Linked DNA regions of Schizosaccharomyces pombe. Changing the gene in region 1 together with any one later gene gives a genetic interaction. Each region holds a gene or a part of one and is shown on either strand. Other genes may lie near its edges. The genes, in order: fkh1 and caa1.

Evidence for each region.
Region 2: of fkh1 (region 1) and caa1, a mutation in one rescues a mutant of the other (synthetic rescue), as found in Schizosaccharomyces pombe (one study listed by BioGRID).

The regions. Positions count from the first base shown.
Region 1 is NC_003423.3:626,574-637,337, reverse strand, and holds fkh1 (FKBP-type peptidyl-prolyl cis-trans isomerase Fkh1), read left to right. Parts: upstream 1-4,660; 5' UTR 4,661-4,695; coding exon 4,696-4,722; intron 4,723-4,904; coding exon 4,905-4,942; intron 4,943-5,070; coding exon 5,071-5,090; intron 5,091-5,195; coding exon 5,196-5,409; intron 5,410-5,456; coding exon 5,457-5,496; 3' UTR 5,497-5,641; downstream 5,642-10,764. Other genes in the region: SPOM_SPBC115.03 (gfo/idh/mocA family oxidoreductase), read left to right, coding at 1,888-2,994; C1-5,6,7,8-tetrahydrofolate (THF) synthase, trifunctional enzyme Thf1, read right to left, coding at 6,167-8,800, 9,079-9,223, 9,274-9,308; tef103 (translation elongation factor EF-1 alpha Ef1a-c), read left to right, coding at 9,850-10,764. UniProt on the Schizosaccharomyces pombe protein: PPIases accelerate the folding of proteins. It catalyzes the cis-trans isomerization of proline imidic peptide bonds in oligopeptides. Has an important role in sexual development and serves as the target for rapamycin action.
Region 2 is NC_003424.3:1,226,152-1,237,388, reverse strand, and holds caa1 (aspartate aminotransferase), read left to right. Parts: upstream 1-5,349; 5' UTR 5,350-5,371; coding exon 5,372-6,601; 3' UTR 6,602-6,749; downstream 6,750-11,237. Other genes in the region: SPOM_SPAC10F6.15 (uncharacterized protein), read right to left, coding at 424-1,722; SPOM_SPAC10F6.14C (ABC1 kinase family protein), read left to right, coding at 3,466-5,073; protein-S isoprenylcysteine O-methyltransferase Mam4, read left to right, coding at 7,319-8,029; autophagy-associated protein kinase activator Atg17, read left to right, coding at 8,738-9,973; rio1 (RIO family protein kinase), read right to left, coding at 10,110-11,237. UniProt on the Schizosaccharomyces pombe protein: Plays a key role in amino acid metabolism.

The DNA.
Region 1 (10,764 bases):
ATTGCGATGATTTCGGTATATGCGTTTGCGTATTGTCTTAATCATGAGCAAATGTTAATCTGAAACTAGTAAGTCAAGCCTATTTCGTTGGTAAATAGAAACCTGTTCTTAATAAAAAAATTTCTTGTTTAAAAAATTTTAAATTTAATGGAACTAAGTATAAGCAACTATACTTCCATACGATCCCAGATAGGTGGAGTTATTCTGTATATTAGTAAAAAAGTTAATCGCATGGAATTTCAATAATACATTGGAACTCATGTTATTAAAGTATTATTTATTTCTTTTCCATTTTTTGTATATTCAACAAACAATGGCAACTTTATTTTTTGTACTCAATTAAAAAGTACGAGAATAATATTAATTTGGTCAATATCAAGTATTGCTTCAGTTTGTTAATAAGTTTGACAATTGATGTTAAGTGATTTTAAGGAAATCCCGAAGAAAGAAGTTCGTATCGATAGTGAATTTAATTGGTGCTGTAGAGTATGTTTAGTTGAATTCCGTTCATTAGTTTCATAACTATTATTCCAGCAAAACGCAGATATTTATAAAACGCCTATATACGTATTTTTTGTGATTATTTGGTTTGGCTTATTAATATTTCTTATGTTTATTCTTATTTTATTTTATCTTTAGTAGACCACAAACAAATAAATGAATTATATATTAATATACTAGTGTTTACACACAGCTACTGCATGAAGTTATGATCTTGTATGTGTAACAAATGTTGTTAAATGATATATAAAAAAGGAGGGAAATTCTTAAAACGTGATAATAAGGAATACTGAAATGTTTGAGTTAAGAACTTTGAAAGCTTCTTAGTAGATAAAATAAGGCATATGTATTCGCTATTTTAGCATGTGAATTCATGAATGATATTTTAAATTTTCACTAATTACTTTAAAAAAAAGGGTAGTAAGTTGGCTCAGAAATATAAACTGATGCCATTAGCTTAAAAAAAAAAAAGAAAAAGAAAAACTATCTTCATACGCAGTAAAGGCCTTAAATTAATAAACTCTATAAAATTTTTAAGCTCATCTAAGCGAACACCATTCAAATAGTAAAACCGAAGTGAATTGTTAAGGCGATACTTTGTATTCTGAAAGAAGGCAGGCAATAAAGAATTTTAGAAGAAGCACTTAAACAGATACTTCAAATGTTTACTTCCTCAAAATTCCCATAAGTCATTACTTTGTTTGATCTTAGGCATCAACTACGCTAAAGCTCAATGTTATAAAAATATCTTTGAGTAGATGACTGTTTATCCCATAGTATGTACATTATTTGTTCGAAAATTCCCGTTTTTATAAGAGGAAATATTGGCATGATATTAATTACAAAGCAAAAGCTATGATAACTATGGTTAACAAGCTCAACCTAATGATCGTTATAGTGTTTAATATTTTAATGACATGCTAATAAGCGATCTTTGTTAGGTAATCGAGCTGTCGAAAACAAACTACTTTTAAATTTAGTTTATTTCATCCACTTTGACTCTGTAACCTTTTCCAGATTGATTAGCAAAAATCAGTTTTTTATTACTTGAATTTTTAATTGAAATCTTACTGCTTTCTTGTTATAATAAAAAAGCGTAACTGGTATGTCTAAAATCAAAGTTCGTAAAATAGACTGATTTCAAACATTTTCTTTCAAGTATTCACATGAATGCATTTTAGCATATGTTTAGCTAAATGATGATTATGTTTGATAAATGGATCCCTTCATTCGGTTAAAATTTTATAATTACCGATTATTAATATCTGATCATATGCTTACACTGTCGTTAGTAAAATTCTTCCTTTAGCGGTTCGATATTTTCTCGTATTAAAAAAATTTCTGTATTCTACAGCTTACAAATCATTACTTTGATTAAGTTAAACTATGCCTCCGATTAAGACTGCAGTGCTTGGAACTGGTGTGTCAGCTTTTGTTTTTCATTTCCCATTCCTTGAAGCTTTACCTTCAAAATTTGAAATTTATGCATGTTTAGAACGTAGGGCAACAGTTACACAATCCAAAGCACGCTCTGCATATCCCAATATTTTGGTTTATACAAACTTGGATGAATTATTAGCCGACGTCAATATTGAGTTGGTCGTAGTTTCCCTACCTCCCAATGTTCATTCTGAAATTGTAAAAAAAGCTTTGAACGCTGGTAAGCATGTGGTTTGTGAAAAGCCGTTTACTCCTACCTATGAGGAAGCCAAAGAGCTCTATGAACTTGCCGAATCAAAAAGCCTACTACTGGCAATTTATCAAAATCGTCGGTGGGATGGTGATTTTCTGACTGCTAAAAAAATAATAGAAAGCGGAAGACTTGGTCAAGTTGTTGAATTCGAATCTCACTTTGATCGATACCGTCTGGGTCGAAAATCTGGAAGTTGGAAAGATGAACCTAGACCCGGGAACGGAATGGTGTACGGGATAGGCTCACATTTAATTGATCAAGCAGTCTCCTTGTTTGGCACGCCTTACTCTGTTACTGCCAAGCTGGAAGCTCAACGTCAAATTCCTCCTTTGGAGGTGGAAGATTATTTTCGTATTATTCTTCATTACCCTGCTAAAGGAAACAAACTTCCAATCAACGTAATTCTGTCTTCTACTAATGTGTCATGCGGCTGTGAAATGCGATTCTGTATTAAGGGCACTCGTGGTTCTTTTATGAAATTTGGGTTTGACCCACAAGAGTCACAATTACATTCAGGAATGAAGCCTAACGATCATGGATTTGGAACTGATAGATTTGAGCTCTATGGAAACTTATGGACTGTTCCTTTGGATGCTGACGTGAAAGCTTTGCCTGAACCAACTAAAATTACGGTTCCTACTGTTCAGGGAAATTACCGGGACTTCTACGATGCGGTTTTTGAGGAAATCTTAAAAAAAGCTAACGAGTTTCCTATCAAATCTGATCAAGTTTTGGCAGTAGAAAAAATAATGGAGGCTGCATATAAAAGTTCTGAATCTTCTAGCTCGATCCAGTTGTAAAAGAATATTTACAATTTTATTAAATGAAGTAACCCTTCAGTGTGAAAATCCTTGCTTGTTTTTCTTTAAACTAAATGAGAAGTGATCTTAGAATTAAAATAGTGAATATTTGGTTTTAACAATTGCGTTATAACATCTCATAGCCATAATCAATGGTAATGAATTGCATGTTTTAGAAACCGTTTAAAGAATTTGAAATGGGATTACCAAAATCATATAATGTTCAAATGAAGGGAATATTGTTTTCATATTTAAAGCTCCTTTCCAATAAGTGGACGACCACTGGGACTGAACGTACAAAAGACAATAAAGTCATACTAGTGAAAAGATTCACTGTTGCTATTCTGTAATTATCTGTTTAAGCAGCATTAAAATTTTAATGCTCGTTTCATATGATATTGTTTGCGTATTAACGAAGTTTTCACAATTTCAACACTCTATTCTGACTATTGATTCTTCTTGTCGAGCTAAAAAAATTGGTAAATGCATTGATTTTCTATTTAGTATATAGGTATACCAAAACAATATGAAGTGAAATATGCTTTTCTTACAGACACCCAAACTATATTTGAGAGCTTTTTGATTAGGATACTGTATAATAAAGATTGAATCAAACAAACCATACTTTTACGAGAAGTATGATTTATGGTACTCGGTTATTGCCATTCTGTTCATCCTCCATGCTAATTTCACAGCATGTACTAAGTGTTTTCGGAAATAAAAGTAAATCTATCTTATAACTCTCTTACGATGAACAATTTATTTTTCGTTCTGACAATAAGTTTAACTGAAATTTAATTGAATGTCCCAGCCTTTCATTAACCACTAGATCGCCAGTTCAACTAAAAAAGATTTATAAAGTTATTTATTAGCTTTCATCAAAATCCGTTTCAATAAAATTAGAAAATATGCTTTAAATTGTGCGTTTACCCTCATTTGTTACATTAAGAGTCCATATATTTACTCAGTACTTAAGTTAAACAATTGTGCTGCTCATTCTATTCCATCGTATTATATAAAAATTTTATTATTGAGTGTCCGTAATTTACAATCCTATTTCTTTTGAATTTCGGGATGATTGATACGATTACAAGCAAATTATTAAATACTGCTATGAGAGCTACATGTGTCAAATAACTTACTGTTCGAATATATTCGGTGCGCCTTATTTTAATCTTTGTTTTTAAGAATACTTCTTTTTTCTATTTTCTCAATAAAGGTTTATAGTTCTTATTGTTTATTGAATAGTGATTATCAACGAAAAGTGGTAAACAAGCTTCAAACCAGCTACATAGCTCAGTATTTACTTAAGAAAACAGTAAACTGTGGTGTGTGCTTCGTTACAATATGCTGTTTTCTTATACGAATAAGACAAAGCAATTATTATTATACTACTTGAATGTAATAACTAATGTAAGTGCGACTAGAATAAAGTCAGATGGTGTATTTTGATATATTGTTAAACCCACTCTAAGAAGTTATAGTATGCAGAATGAATAATACTAGAGTACATGGTATAGCGATAAGTAAGGAATTTTCAGTTTACTAATCGGTAAACCGGATAGAGAAGTGCATAACGAGTTTACATCACAGAATGAAAGAATGCGGTAAACTGGGCAAGTTATTCCATATACATCTTCCATTACTACTTTCGGGTTTGCTCATTAACCAACCACTTATTTTATTTGAAATCTGTTAAATATGGGTGTCGAAAAGCAAGTTATTTCTGTAAGTGTTGAAAAAATCGGTAATTTCTTTTGAATCTACAAATATCTTCTCTGGTTATGTTTGTAAACAATTCATCCGTGTTAGTCGGTTCACCACTGATTTGCATTTCCTTAATTTGTCACATTCCTGATGTCCTTGTCTCTACATTATTCCTTTCATACAAATTCTAACCTTTAAAAAAGTCCGGAAATGGTCAAGACTTTCCCAAACCTGGTGACAGGTATGTATTTAATGTGTGATTTCACTTTAACTCTTTGTTACCAAAGGAGCTTTGCTTCTCCTTTTCTTAGGGTCTATAGTGAATTTGCTTACAATTTTATTCTAAATGCAGTTACTAACACCATTTAGAATCACCATGCATTATACCGGTATGTGAAATCTACGACGAATTATTCTAGCAAATCAATTTTTATATTGTGTTGTTTTCTCCTTTCCAAAACGAATATTTCATTGCTGACATAACCGTGGGATAGGTACTTTAACCAATGGTAAAAAGTTTGATTCATCTGTTGACCGTGGATCCCCATTTGTTTGCACTATTGGCGTTGGTCAATTAATTCGCGGATGGGACGAAGGAGTACCCAAAATGAGTTTGGGTGAGAAAGCTAAGCTTACTATCACTCCTGATTATGGCTATGGCCCACGTGGTTTCCCTGGATTGATTCCTCCTAACAGCACTCTTCTTTTGTAAGTACAAATGTACATTTTTCGTGATTTATTTTTAACCTATATAGCGATGTTGAGTTGCTTGCTATCAATGATAAGAAGGCTTAAATGCTAGTGTTTCGCTTTTTATGATACATGCATCTTACTAGCGGTTGTTACTTATTCCACAATTTTTTTAGTGTTTTAAGTATAATAACGTTTCCCAGTTTAGAAATATATCTTTTTTTTTTTAATATCTTATATTTTCTTGCACTATGATATATTTCGTATAGCGATAATGATGCCTACGATCAATAGATTACTGCTAAAGAGAGAAATATTTACTTCTGAAAAATTTCACTTTCATAAGTTGAATCAAACTTCTCCGACTGTATTTCAAATAGTTAAATTACACGTTCAGTTTTCAACTAAACCATCAAGAAAAAAATCATATGGTATGATCGGTTTATTTCATTAGGTTGAACAGTATGAAAGTTAAAACAGGAATTCTATACGATTGTCAAAGAAGCAACAGTTTTTTAACGTTTTTTACTCCAAAAAGGATAAGTATCATGCAATGAACTAGCAAATTATGCTAACATTGCTAATACTAAATATGGGCCTGAAAATATAGGCATATACGGCACTTGCTAGAGTTGTATATGTCGATCATTCTGAGCTTAAATTTTAATAGTAGATATTTGAAAGAAACAAGAAAACTATTGGTTGAACAACTGTTTTCCATTGCCTTGTTCTCAGAACAAAGCAAAAGGGGTTGATAGAGACAGGCATTGGCGAATTAAGACAGCCCAACAATATCACCATTTTCTGCGATATCAATATTGTAATAGGCTGGCTTGGTAGGTAATCCAGGAATAGTAGATATGGCTGCTGCTAAAGGATAAATGAATCCAGCACCAGCACTCAAACGCATATCACGAATTGGCACGGTAAAATTAGTAGGGGCACCTTTTAGATCTGGGTCGTGCGATAAACTGTATTGTGTTTTGGCAATGCAAATGGGTAAGTTGTTGTATCCTTGTTTAGTAAACGTTTCAAGACGTTCTTTAGCCAAGGGACTCAATTCAATGCCGTCAGCACCATACATTTCTTTCGCAATAATTTCAATCTTCTTTTCGATGGGCTCGTGTACATCGTAAAGGAGGCGGAATTCAGAATCCACATTCTCGCAAGCATTTATCAAAGCACGTGCAACACCTAGAGCTCCTTTACCACCTTCGGCCCAGTGGTTAGAGTCTACAGCATCAGTTGCACCGGCAGCAAGGGCTTCTTCACGAATGGCACTAATTTCATTAGGAGAATCGGAAGAAAACTTATTGATTGCAACCACAACGGGTAAACCGTACTTACGTGCATTACTAATGTGCTTAGCCAGATTAGCGCATCCTTTACGAACCAAATCAACGTCTTCGCGCTTATAAACCTCAGGGATAGGTTTACCAGGTCCAACAGGAGGACCGCCGCCGTGTAACTTCAATGCTTGAACAGTTGCAACGATAACAATGGCATCAGGCTTTAAACCTGAAGTACGACACTTGATATTAAAGAACTTTTCCATTCCGATATCGGAAGCGAATCCTGCCTCAGTTACAACATATCCAGCTTCTTTCTTAGCATCCTCATCCACTTCGGTACCCGCTAATTTGAGGGCAATGCGATCAGCCAGAATGGAAGAGGCACCAATACTGATATTTGCAAAAGGGCCAGCATGAACAAGAGCAGGAGTACCCTCCAACGTTTGCATAAGTGTTGGTTTAATTGCGTCTTTGAGCAAGACTGTCAAGGCACCACCAACTCCTAAATCATCAGCGGTAACAGGTTCACCAGATTTGTTGCTGGCAACAACCATGCGGCCTAATCGCTCACGCATATCTTTCAAGTCAGTAGCCAAGGCCAAGACAGACATACATTCGCTAGCGACAGAAAGATCAAAACCGGTTTGGCGAGTGAAACCCTTTTCCGTAGGATTCTCTCCAATAGTAATTTTACGAAGAAAGCGATCGTTAACATCCAAAGTACGATTCCATGAAATAGTTGAAGGTTCAATATCCAGCCTAGCAAATTTTCTTTGCTCTTCTTCGGTTAATTCTTCAGGATTAGTTTTATCAATGCCAAGCTTTTTCAAGCGACGGAACATGACGGGTGCAAACTCTCGTTTGTTTCCCTTAACCAAAGTCAAACGTTTATACAAAGCGGCATCGGATTGTGTGTTTTCATGGAACATACGGGTATCGATGGCAGCAGCAAGCAAGTTGGTAGCTGCTGTAATTGCATGAATGTCACCAGTTAAATGAAGATTGAACTCCTCCATAGGGATGAATTGAGAATAACCACCTCCGGCAGCACCACCTTTAATTCCAAATGTGGGGCCTTGAGAGGGTTGACGAACACATGCAATAGCAAGCTTGTCCAAGTTTGAAAGCGCTTGAACGAGTCCTGCAGTAAGTGTACTTTTACCCTCGCCGAATGGAGTAGGAGTGATACCAGTAACTACAACGTAGTGGCCGTCGCGACGATGAGCCAGACGTTGAAGAATTTCAAGGTTGACCTTGGCTTTATGGGATCCATAAAATTCTAATTCAGATTTTGCGATACCAATTTCGGAAGCCAAGTCACCAATATTTTTAGGGGTTTGTGAACGCGCAATCTCAATATCACTAGGAACAGGGGTCTGAAGCTTTAAAGGAAGAAGAGTTGGTTTACGCTTGCGAGACATTTTGCGAAAGCGAACAGCTGATTCAACCACGTTTTGCAGCAACATGGCTACGGTCATAGGACCAACAGAACCAGGGACAGGTGTGATTGCGCTGGCGACCTCCTTGGCATTTTCAAAGTCAATATCGCCGGTAAGACGGTAACCAGACTTCTTGGTGGCATCTGGAATAGAGTTGATACCAACATCAATAGCGACAACGCCCTTTTTCAACCAGTCAGCCTTGACGAAATGAGGAATACCAATGGCAGCAACGACAATATCAGCTGTCCTAACAATATCAGCAATAGATTCCGTCTTTGAATGACATAAAGTAACTGTGGCATTTGCCTTTTCCAAAAGTATGGACATTGGACGACCAACAATGTTGCTACGGCCTATGACAACAGCATGCTTTCCTTGGACATTAATCCCGTAATGTTTTAAAATGCACATAATACCTTTTGGGGTGCATGCGGTAAACAAGGGTTGACCTTCGCGCTTGGTCAATTTTCCCAAATTAGTTTCACAAAAACCATCAACGTCTTTCTCGGGAGCGACGGCTTCTGTAATAATCTGCTCATTGATGTGAGCAGGCAGAGGTAACTGTACAATAATACCGTGGACAGTAGGGTCCTCGTTGAAGCCTTTGATGGCAAGCAGCAAGTCGTATTCTGTAATATCTTCAGGAAAATTCACATGCTCACAGGAGATTCCAGCCTAAACAGTTAGAAAATAATGCATGGATTTAATTGAAGGAGATGTAAAAGAAAGAAAATGAATTTAATGAATAAGAGAATTGCAAATATTTAAATAGTCCACCCAAGCATCATCTACCTTCTAACATTATCGAAAAACCAAAAAATCATCCATCGCGCCAACTAACGCCAGATTGTACATGAGTGTTAGGGTGAACTTTTAAAACCAGTGCGCTTTTAATAACTCGTCCCTACGCATTTCAATCATTTTAGGAGACCCTTCTCCGCCTTCACTCATACCTCATTAGCTGCACGAGTTTTCATGCGCACATATACATTTGAGTCCTCTCTACCTCCGACTTGAATGATTTTTAAAGAAACGTTGAAATAAGGGTCAACAGATTTAATCGAGGAGATCTGCTCCCGAAGTTCTTCTCGAACTTTGCTAATTCAACTGTTAGACAAAACTATATATACACGATAAAAAAGACATACCGGGCCAAAGAAGTACCCTCCAAAAGCAAAGCCATCAAAACTATTACCGTTGTGGTGACGGACAAAGAACAAACAAAAGCAGCTAAGGTGGGTATATCAGCGAAAATCTCAGTCCACAATCTCAATCCGATCTGATAACGGCCATCAAAAATGGTTCAATGATACAACTAAATATTTTTCATCATTTAATAAACCAGATATATATTTTTAAATTAACGAAAAACGATCCATTTCATATATACAGCGTTGATCGTTTCCGCCCAATAAATCAAAATCGCCAAGAACGACGTTCGCTAAGCTAATGTTTATTGCGGTGGCAAATTCGGCTAAGTGTACTCTAAAGACAAAAGGTTAAGAAGCAAAGAAAAATTTTAAATGACATCATGACTTTCCTGCGCAAACAAAATTCGTTCGCTGATAGGCTCACGACAATATTTTAAGCCGGAAAAAAAGAAAAAAACTTTCGAGACGTAACGAACGTTATGTGACTGCTTTTTTTGCGCAAGTATATATGTAGGCGCTGGCGCCCTTCGCTTCTACCTAGAGTCTGTTTCATCGAACTCACATTAAACAAAAATGGGAAAGGAAAAGGGACATATTAACGTCGTTGTTATCGGTCACGTCGATTCTGGTAAGTCTACCACCACTGGTCACTTGATTTACAAGTGCGGTGGTATTGACAAGCGTACCATTGAAAAATTCGAGAAGGAAGCCACCGAGTTGGGTAAGGGTTCCTTCAAGTACGCCTGGGTTTTGGACAAGCTCAAGGCCGAGCGTGAACGTGGTATCACCATCGACATTGCCCTTTGGAAGTTCGAGACTCCCAAGTACAATGTTACTGTCATTGATGCCCCCGGTCACCGTGATTTCATCAAGAACATGATTACCGGTACTTCTCAAGCTGACTGTGCTATCCTTATTATTGGTGGTGGTACTGGTGAGTTCGAGGCTGGTATCTCCAAGGATGGTCAAACCCGTGAGCACGCTTTGCTTGCTTACACCTTGGGTGTCAAGCAACTTATTGTTGCCGTCAACAAGATGGACACCACTGGCTGGTCCCAAGCTCGTTTCGAGGAAATCGTTAAGGAGACCTCTAACTTCATCAAGAAGGTCGGTTTCAACCCCAAGACCGTTCCTTTCGTCCCTGTCTCCGGTTTCCAAGGTGATAACATGATTGAGCCCACCACCAACATGCCCTGGTACCAAGGCTGGCAAAAGGAGACCAAGGCTGGTGTCGTCAAGGGTAAGACTCTTTTGGAGGCTATTGACTCCATTGAGCCCCCTGCACGTCCCACTGACAAGCCTCTTCGTCTTCCCCTTCAAGATGTTTACAAGATCGGTGGTATTGGTACAGTTCCCGTCGGTCGTGTCGAGACTGGTGTTATCAAGCCCGGTATGATTGTCACCTTCGCTCCCGCTGGTGTCACTACCGAAGTCAAGTCTGTTGAGATGCACCACGAGTCTCTCGACGCTGGTCTTCCCGGTGACAAC
Region 2 (11,237 bases), on another chromosome or scaffold:
GGAACGGAAACTGTAAAGAATACCGAGTAAGGTCAAGAATTTTTTGGTTTCTGTTTTTGTTTTCTTCGCTTTTACGTGATTTTAATTTAAACTTTTGTATATCATTTATAATTCAGTCATGTCATTCCCCAACCAAATACATAAGGTCAGGATGTGAGTGTAGTTCGGTAATAATGTGGGTAAAAAATCGTTTCGTTCCCGTTGTCACAAAACGATAATTCGGTCCACCGATTCACCATAGCTGGTCAACATAAATCATCTGCTTCGTTAGATTTTTTAGTAAAAGCAAACTCAATTCCTTTCGCATATAACTTTAGGCTCACCCATCAAGCTTGATGTTGGGTTCTTTTTTGTGAAAGATGTTTTCGGATTGGCGAATTCAGCCAACTCGAGATTTTCTTCGGAATTCTATCAATCCTCATCTCATTCAGCAGGTATAATCAGTTGAATCGCTATATCTTCTCCATTTTCATCTGAAGGTGTATCCAGACAATTCAATGTTAGTCTATTGGTTAAGCAGTTATCTTTTGACGAGCAAAAATTGCTTGATTTTGCTGAACCTGCTTCAGAAAAATTTGGTAAATTTGGCAATGAATGAAGACCCGTTGGATTATTGAACAATTTTTTCATGTTACACTCCATCTCGGCGTTGAATTGGCGACATTTGCAGAGATCTAGCAACAATTGGTTATAAAAGTCACATTCCTTTTTGGATGAAGGCGGATTCTTAAAGATTGCACCATCACTATTGTACAAAAGCAACGTCGACTCTGGTAGTTTACCGAGAAATATATTTTTTTTCATATTCAAATAGAGATGGATTGGGAAGGCATAACCGTTTGAGCCAATACAGTGAATCATTGCAATCCAACCGATGTCTGCTTCAGAATTAGCACACTGAAGAATTTTGTCAAATCCATCAATTTCATAAGGTAGATTATTTTCCAATAGCGGCTTACGAAGCTGTACGTATGACTGAAAATTCGACGAACTTACTACAATGCAGTTACATGTCGAGCCAAGAGCAAAGATATCCCTCGGATTTACCAAATACATGCGAATATTTCCAATTTTCTTCTGTACAGCTAACTTTTGGACAGTACTGTATGCTTCTCCTGAATTGTTTACATAATGCTCAACTGCTGCCCACAAGGCTTCCTGAAGACTTTTCGGGTAATATTGATAGAGCATGACATGATGAATCAAAACAGTTAATGGAAATTCGCCCGAACGTAGATAGTCGCACAAATATTTAAATAGAGCTTGATGATTTCGAAGTAGATGCGAAACTGCTGTCTGTATACAAGAATGATTATCGATCAAGTGATAAACCTGATCAGGAAGGCAAAACCCGCTCTCATCCATTTCATAACCAATTTTCAAATAGACACCACTAAACGTATGGAAAACATAAGATAACCAACCATCATAAAACAAATTTGGAATGTCAAAGCGATCTGGCAGCTCGAATTCTTTTAACTTGAGAATTTTACATGTACACGGTATCCACGAAATTGAGTCTAAAAGTAGAAAATGCGTATTGTGAGGATATTCAATATCTGCATATGTAATCGCAGCCATTGGATTTTCACATTGGCATTTCATACAAGCCAATTGGCGCTTATTTCGACGCATGCATAAAATTAGAAATTTCGATATTTTCAGAGCGAATTTGTGAAGTATTGTTGAATGAAACTTGACAACATTTGCATTATAGTTCATGGAAAATAATAACTATGTTTGCATAACACTAACAAGTATCAGAAATTATAGTTATAGGGAAACCTCAACAGAAATTAAGCACTTTACAATATGCCAAAAGATCCAGCTTGAACCAGCTGGCAAAAAAAGTAAAAATGCTGCGTTGTAGGATTAAATCAAATTAGTAATGAGAGAGGTAAATCATAAAATCCCATCGTCAAGAGATTACGAGCAATCTAATTTTGAAGGAAAAAAGCCCGCAAACAATAAATGATGCCAAAAATTCGCAACCAAGTAATGTAAACAATAACACAGCTGAGCTACTGCGACTTATGTTATTATGCTACCTATGCTATTTCCATCACTAAACCAAACTGTTACTACCGCAATTAGTAAAACATTGATGGCGGCTAAATTTGCAGTTCTTTTGCTTGACTTATCTCTGAAAATTTAATGCATGGATAACATATCTGAACCCCAAACATTCGTTTTTAACGAGCCTATGCCAACGTACCTTAACACTTTCAATAAGAAAAAGCAAAACTTGATATCACGCTACATAGCACCTATAATTCATTACAAGAAAACATAATTCATTAAATAACGTAAAACAGCTCTAGAAACAAAAAACTTATATGAATACCAAAATCAGACCAAATAACTCAACAAGACGCTATCGCGTTTCAGTGCTTGACTCTTTGTATTTGTCGATCATCATATTTTGGGAAAAGCTACATTTAATAATATGCTAACTAAAAGTAGGTCTGGCTTGATTCGAACAAGCACTCCGACAGAGTAAACCAAATTTTCAAACCTTTTTCTTTAAGGAAAAAAACCTTTGAGCACGAGACTAAGCCCCATTGTGATACATCAACAAATGGATGCGACCGTATAACTATCAACTACGACGAAAAACCACAATTCAGAAATGGCGTAATCAACCATACCGTTCGTACACTAGACGCTCAAGAAACACAACTCATAGACTGTATTCCTTATCTACTCCATTCTGGACAAGGAGTTATATCTCTTGAGGTTTAAAGTACAAAGGCTAAAGGAAAAACTAGCGCCATTAATGAAACCGCTGATTCTTCAAGTCAGCACGTTACCGCCTGTCCCAATCTCCATGGAGATCAAGACGCAAGAGTCCGGGGACTTTCCCTAAAGCTGTTTAGAGGAATAAAAATTCCTGTATGACTGCTTCAACCACGATCGTTCGAGCTCAAAGGTATCATTTGGAAAAATTAAAGTGGAAACAGTGGTATATATATTACTGACTATTTACGTGACTGTTTATAACCCTAACCTGTTTTTGGATTGAATAGATCTGTTGCTCTGCGATTCTTCGACGAGCAATTGACCGACATAGCATTTAATACTTTCAGTATATCAATGAGCAATGTTCTTAAGTGTTATCGGAGCTGTAGTAGCATATCACCTTGTAATAAAAAAGTTATTGACAGAATCCCTCATTCATAACGACTACACTGAATATCATTATTTATGAATTGTGTAATATAATGTCTAAAATAATAGTATACTGGCGACGTTATCTTCAGTTAATTTATCAAAAGTATGATACGCTAAATGGGAGAATGCATTTCAATGGCTGCCTTAGGTCAGAAAGTTGAGAATGTTGAAAGGACACAGCGCCAACTTGATCTATTTATGATAGTCCCTTTACTACCTTCCTTGAATCCAAAGTGTTGAACTTAGTTTACTTCTGCTCAAATTCGTCTTCTTCAAAGCCTTCATCCCGTAGAGATGTTGACTTCGTGGAGAACAATTTCTCTACTGCAGAAAACTACCAGTCGCTTCATTAAGCGATCAAAGACATATGCTGATGTACGTTATAACAGTCAAGCATTGCAAAATCATGGAGTTCCTGGTAACAAACGTAAATGGATGAAGAGGTTCGTATTTGTTGGTGCTGCTGGAATAGGTGTCTACGCTTGGGATCGAGTGTATAATGCCCATGCACTTACCCGTAGTATTAGAACAGTATACACCGCTTCTATAATTGCGGCTGACTATAAGTTGAATTTCAGCGAAAAAAAGGCAGACAAAATTGATGCTTTGCACCAAAGAGTAGCACAGAGACTGTTTAAAACGATTTACAAAAATGGCGGTTTATACATCAAGATGGGTCAAATCATTGCTATGCAATCAAATAATTTGCCTGAAGCGTATGGGAAAGCCTTTCAGGGAATGTTTGACAATGCACCTCAAGTTGAATGGGAAGAACTTCAAGACATATTCAAAGAGCAATATGGAAGACCAGTAGAGGAAGTATTTGCCAGCATTGAGAAACGTGCTGCTGCAAGTGCCAGTATTGCGCAGGTACATCGTGCTGTTTTACCTAGCGGTGAAAAGGTCGCGGTAAAAATTCAAAAACCAGATGTTGCTAAGCAAATGTCGTGGGATCTTCTCGTGTACAAATACATGATGTATGTTTATGATAAATGGATATTTCATATCCCTCTCTACTTTACGGTTGATTATGTCTCGGAAAGATTACGTTCTGAGGTTGATTTTACAACTGAAGCTAACAATTCGGAACATGCTCGTGAAGGGGTAGAAGAAACTGATTATTTAAGAGATAAGATATATATACCAAAGGTTTATAAAGAGATTTCTGGAAAGCGAGTAATGGTTACTGAATGGGCTGATGGCATTCCCCTCTATGATCAAACTGCTCTTTCTGAAGCTGGGATGAGCAAAAAGGAAATTTTAACGAACCTTTTCAGATTCCTTGCCTTCCAAATGTTTCATTCGAAACAAGTTCATTGTGATCCACATCCTGGAAATATCCTTGTTCGAAAAAATCAAGCAGGCTTGTGTCAAACGGTAATTTTGGATCATGGGTTATATGTATTTGAATCAGAAAAGTTTAGAAAAGAATTTGCCTTGCTTTTCACTGCAGCCTATTCATTAGACAAAAAATCTATTCTTCAGGTAATGGATGCTTGGGGGATTGGACAACCTGAGCTTTTTGCTAACCGCATGTTAAATATTCCAATGGATGAAGAGCAACCTCACACTGGTGAAAAAATTATTTCAAAGAAAGAGGCCTTCCAACAGCAGCTTGCTGAACGCAAAAAGTTCATTGGCTTCTTACAGGACTGCACTCGTTTACCGAAAGAGCTGTTAATGCTAGGTCGCTGCTTAATGCTTATTCAAAAAAATAACCAAAATTTTGGGTATCCAGTGAATAGTATAGCTGTTATGGCCAAGGTTGCTGATAAATACACTACCGACAAACCTAGTCCAACTTGGTATCAACGGCTGTTGTCGCCTATTTTTTGGGTCTTTCAACATTTATTTTACCCTGGAAATTTTCGGTTGCCTGAACTTACTAATGATAAAAAATGATATTTATAGTAAAGATTACTTTTCTTTATGGAAAGCCAATCTTTGACCATAATAATATAACTTCACATATTGCCTACTTTTCTCGATAAGACACTTCAGAGCTCCTCCTTGTAAAAGTTAAGCTCCTCCCTATACGAGTCAAACTTTGTATCGTTATTCACTATTACAGTACATCAAGCTCGGTATCTTATATGTCAATGAAGTATACTGATAATATAGTGATACTAAACCGAGTGATAAATATATATATATAGTAGATCAGTAAGGTTGAAATCTACCTACCGCATATTTAACCACAATGTCAGACTACGGGTTTGCAAATATTGAGGAAGCTAAGGCAGATGCAATTTTTAAATTAAATGCTCAATACCATCAGGATGAAGATCCCAAGAAGGTTAACATGAGTGTTGGCGCCTATCGTGACGATACTGGTAAGCCTTGGATTTTGCCTGCAGTTAAAAAAGCATCTAAAATAGTGGAAGAACAGGCAAGCTTCAACCATGAATATTTACCAATTGCTGGATTGCCTCGTTTCACTAAGGCTGCGGCTGAAGTTCTTTTCAGACCCAATCCTCATTTATTGTCCGAGGACCGTGTTGCATCTATGCAGTCAGTCTCTGGTACTGGTGCCAATTTTCTTGCTGCTAGTTTCATTGAGACTTTCTATGTAAAGCACACTGGAGCCCATGTATACATCTCCAACCCTACTTGGCCTGTCCATCGCACTTTGTGGGAAAAATTGGGAGTCACTGTAGATACATATCCTTATTGGGATGCCAAGAATAGATCTTTTGATTACGAAGGCATGCTAAGTACCATTAAATCTGCTCCCGAAGGAAGTATATTTTTACTTCATGCTTGTGCTCACAATCCTACTGGTATTGACCCCACTAGGGAACAATGGCTTTCTATATTCGAGAGTCTGCTTTCTCGCAAGCATCTGGTAGTTTTTGACATTGCTTATCAAGGTTTTGCCAGTGGTGATCTGAATCGTGACTCTTGGGCTCTAAACGAGTTTGTCAAATATAACAAGGACTTTTTCGTTTGTCAGTCATTTGCTAAAAATATGGGTCTTTATGGTGAACGTACTGGTTGCATGCATTACGTTGCAAAGGACGCTTCCACTAAAAACAAGGTCTTATCTCAATTGTGTATTGTTCAACGTAACACCATTTCTAACCCTCCCGCTTACGGTGCACGTATTGCTGCCGAAATTCTTAACAGTCCTCAATTGTTTGCTGAATGGGAACAAGATTTAAAGACTATGTCTTCTAGAATCATTGAGATGAGGAAACGTCTTCGCGATTCTCTTGTTGCACTCAAAACCCCCGGTTCTTGGGATCATATTACACAACAAATTGGAATGTTTTCTTTTACCGGTTTAACGCCTGCACAAGTCCAATTTTGCCAGGAGCGGTACCATCTTTATTTCAGTGCAAATGGTCGTATTTCTATGGCTGGTTTGAACAATTCTAATGTAGAGCATGTTGCACAGGCATTTAACCATGCTGTTCGCGAGTTGCCTTAAACTGATTATTAATACCAAAGTCACATAGATAAGTATTGGATTCATGAATACAGAATTTTGGATTGTTGTAAATTTGACGAATTTAGGAACAAATTCTTTAGCAATTTAGAGAACTAGTATATGCATTTATTCTTTGAATTTTTGAATAATATGAAGTTATCTGTTCAACTCATACACCGGGACTTCTCCTTTGTGAGTTAGACATCAGTATTTGGCTCATTATTTGCAAAACAAGTTGATATCAGTTTGTAATCGGATATGTTTAGACAAAACTGAGAAAGAGTTCTTTTTTAATAATTCATAACTTGCAAATTGATTAATGACAGAGTATTTGAATTCTTTGTTATATCGAGGTTTACTACATTAATATAATACAACTTTTAGCAACTATTAGAGCCAATACAAAGAAAAGAAGTCAAAACTTAAGTAATACAATATGAGTATGATTTTCTTTGTTTTACTTCCCTATTGTGTCAACTATAATTTTAAGCAGGAAATTTTGAAAATATCCTAATAACTCGAAAACCAGGCTAAAGCAAGGAATATCCCTCTTTGCATAAATTTTATTTCTTCTCGTGTCTTTCCTCCAATAATTAATAATTATAACATCTCTAAATGTGTATGAGTTAGTTTGTTAGGACATTTTGACTCAATAATTCTTCTCGATAAATTTAATAAAGAAAGTTGAATTCACATACCTGAATTTAATATACAATCATGGGGAATTTACATACGTCAATAGCTGTAGCATCTATTTGCTTAACCAGCGCCTTTCTTGGTTGTGTTTTTGGTTTGGGATTTTTCGTATGGATTATATACGGATATAGTATTGGAGGTTTTTTTGCATTTCTGAGTCTTTTTCATCTATTAGAGTTTTACATTACTGCTCGTTTTCAAGGTAGTCAGTTATCATGGGATTCTTTCATATTGAATAATGGCAAAGCCTACTGGTTAGCGATGTTAGTCGGCCTTTTAGAATGCTTATTAAGTGGCGGAAAAAGTTTTGCTAAGGTAATAAATTGCTTAAGATTTCCGAGCTTCTTAATCAACTTTATATTTTCGGTATATCAGACATCTGCTCTGGGATTTCTTTGTTTGGGACAATATCTACGATCCTCTGCAATGGTACAAGCCGGTCAATCTTTTTCTCACATTGTAGCTAGTAAAAGAAATAAAGATCATTTGCTTGTCACTGATGGGATTTATGCTTACGTTAGACACCCATCATACGTTGGGTTTTTTATCTGGGCTTTGGGCACTCAAATGTTGTTAGGAAATTTTGTCTCAACATTACTATTTTCTCTAGTTCTTTGGAAATTTTTCTCACAGCGAATTACTACCGAAGAAGCTTACTTAGTTAGTTTTTTTGGTGATTCTTACGAACAATATCGAAAGAAGGTCCCATCTGGAATTCCCTTAATTCCATAGGTTCACTATTATTGTTATTTGAATAGTTGATAAAAGCATACTTAAATAATTTGTATCATCATCAAAGCAGCTTTTAAAGGTCTGACTATACAAATCTCATAACAAATTATTTTTATAGCCTTTTTCTCCTTCAAGGCTAATAGATATCAATTGTCCAAATAACAGCGCTTTGTCTTGCAGAATTTTAAAGATGTTTTCGTAGCTCCGCTAAACATCGAAGTGCCATTAATATGATCAGCTAATCTGAAATTTTCTCTTAAAAAATAATAGTCTGTTTACTTTTGAACCACAATAATTCTGAAAAGATTTACTGCTTAATCATTACTATTCATAGCTATAGTACTCTTAACAAACATTTCTTCTTCTTAGTTTTCGTTTATGGTTTTAACTATATTATAATTATCGCTTCAGTCAACTTTATGTAAATAAAGAAAAATAGCGAAAAACAACTGCAATATTGTGCAATTTATTTGCTGTAGTTCGCAAGCTCTCATTAATATGTGCTACATGCGCTCACTTGCTATATTTCAATTTCGCCGCAAGCATACAACTCTGCTTCACAATCAATTCCTTTGTATTAAAGGTCCTTTTGAAAAGTTTGTTGGCCGATATATATATAAATATATATCTATCCTTATATATCTATATAGTTTCTTTTCCAGTGGAGTGCATACAAGAGGAATACAGTTTTACCGCGTGAGTGCGGTGATGGAATTGTTGCAGCAGTGGACTCAGCAAGCCAAAGCAGCTCTTACTCAAGCCAGGCAACTGTGTGGTGATGCACATAAGTTTAATGAAGATGCAAAAACTGATTTGAGAAATTCCATAAAGCAGCATCAACAGCTAAAAGAGTTGGCGAAGCTCACAGCATCTCAATGTACTCGTTTAGACTCTTCAACAGCTCTTATTAAGCAGTTATTAGATCTAGTTCAAAATTATCCAACATTTAATCAATTAAACGTCCTTCATGATCGATTGGAATCGTCACTTAAACGTCTTCGTGACTGTACATTAGATCCAGCCTTAGGAAGCGAATATACCAATCTTTATGCATTTGTAGATGATACTGCATTAGAAGATTTGAAAACCAGGCTCCGAGGCGTAACTGATGGTGTTTGGAATGCTTTCGAAAAGCTAGCGGGTTTACTGGAAGAAGATTTGTGTGCCAATTATCATAAACGTTTAGAAGCTGTTTCATTAGACTTCTTACCTCCCGCTTATAACGATACTGCCGAAGAACTTGCGGATTTGCTTTTGCAAGTTGCTCAACATTACGATCAATGCTCCGAAGCTCTCAATATTTATGACACCCTTTCTGATGCGGAGAAGAAAGATCTCCAAGAAGTGCTTCAATCAGACTCTAATCATGTTCCTTCGGTATTGACAGAACTTAGGAGTGGATTAGATCAAACAATTCATTATTTCAACGCAGTTCAAAGTTATAAGTCAAAGGTAGATTCGGCAACATCGATTTTGGAAGCCTTGGCTGAGGAGTTAAACAAAAACCAGTTGACTAATCAAAGGCATGAAGCCGCGCATGAGTTAATGAGGGCGCAAACCGGCCTGGAGATTCCGCAATTAGCTCAAGAACTCGTGCAGCTTGAAAGACATTACACACATTTTGCTAAAGCGTATACCGCTCTCCTTCAGGAAATTCACAGACGACAAACCTATGAAAATTGTGTAAGATCCATTGTGGACGAATTTGTGGGACGCCTGGAGAAGGAACAACAGGCGGAGGCGAAATGTCGTATCGATTTTTTCAATCAATATGGTGATTATTTACCCCAGACTCTATGGGGAGCTGTAACAGATCCTCCTTTACATTTTGAAATTATAGAGCACCAATATACAGAATTGCCAAACGTAAAGGTAATTCCTGATAAAAACGATAAGAAATCGAAGCAACGTGAAAAATCTTCTACTACAGCCTCTAAGCGATGACCCTGTTAGCCATATTTTACGATTTTTAAAGTCTATAAACGTATAATGATTTTAGTTATGCTACTAGTTTATGAGTATTGTATAGACTTTTCCAATAAAGATAATTATATAAAATAACCGTAATTTTTTCCCCTGATTACTTTTTTCTTCCAGATTGTTTTAGTTTGCGCTTCTTCTCATACTTCGGAATCTTGGATTTTCTTTTCTCAGCCTTATCTTCTTTGGTTTTTTTTTTCCGTGCCCTCTTCTCCTCCGGTGTCTCCTTTGCACGTCCGTTTCCTTTACCTTGTTTTGCAGATGATTTTGAATCCGAAGTCCGTTCTTCTTCATTTTCCATACTACTTATAGAATTTGCATCATCATCGCTCTCCGAAGTCTCATTTGGGAGGATTTGATCGTTTTGATTTTTTGTAGTGTCATTTAAATCCAATTTTTGAAAGTCTGTATTTAATAAGTGCTTATATACAAGGCTATTAACACCTCCGGCGTTTACGATTTCAGTATCTCGATCAATGTCGTATACCTCATCTAAAGTCCGAGGAACATAAGTTTTTAAGAATTCCTCTTCGTATTCTTCTGTAGTAGGTTCTTCCTCATAAATTGCATTTAACCGGGTTTTCATGGCTTCCTTTTCACAACTTCCTTCTTCAGTAATGAATTTAAATAATTGAGGTAAAGATAAGCAACCAGCATTCAAACGCCTAAAGAATGTAGAAATGTTTAAAATATCCATTCTTAAAAAATCGATGCTCTGCGGGTGGTCATGTTCAACCGATTGTGATACATCAATAAAATAAACTTTACCTTTATGATAAAGTAAATTATATTCTGACAAGTCAGCATGCACGAGATGACAAACATGAAACAAAATACGCATATTCCGTGCTACAAGCTGATATAATTTAGTAGCCTCACCAGGCGTCATATCTATATCCTTTAACTTGGGGTATGCCCATCCTTTCTTGTCCCCCAGAAACGACATAAGCAAAACGTGCTGCTTCAATAAGATTGGCTCTGGGCAAGGAATACCAGCAGCAGCCACACGCTTCAAGTTTCTTATTTCTTTTTCAGCCCATAAGCGTACCATTTTTCGGGGATTGCGCTTGTTATACCCATGACGAAAACGAAATTCTCCAGAAACATAGCGGTCACGATCCTTAAATACTAAGATTGAAGTCTTATAAATTTTTATAGCAAAATGTTTACCATCCTCGTTTGTTGCATGATACACATTTGCTTCCTTTCCCGTGCTTATACAACCATT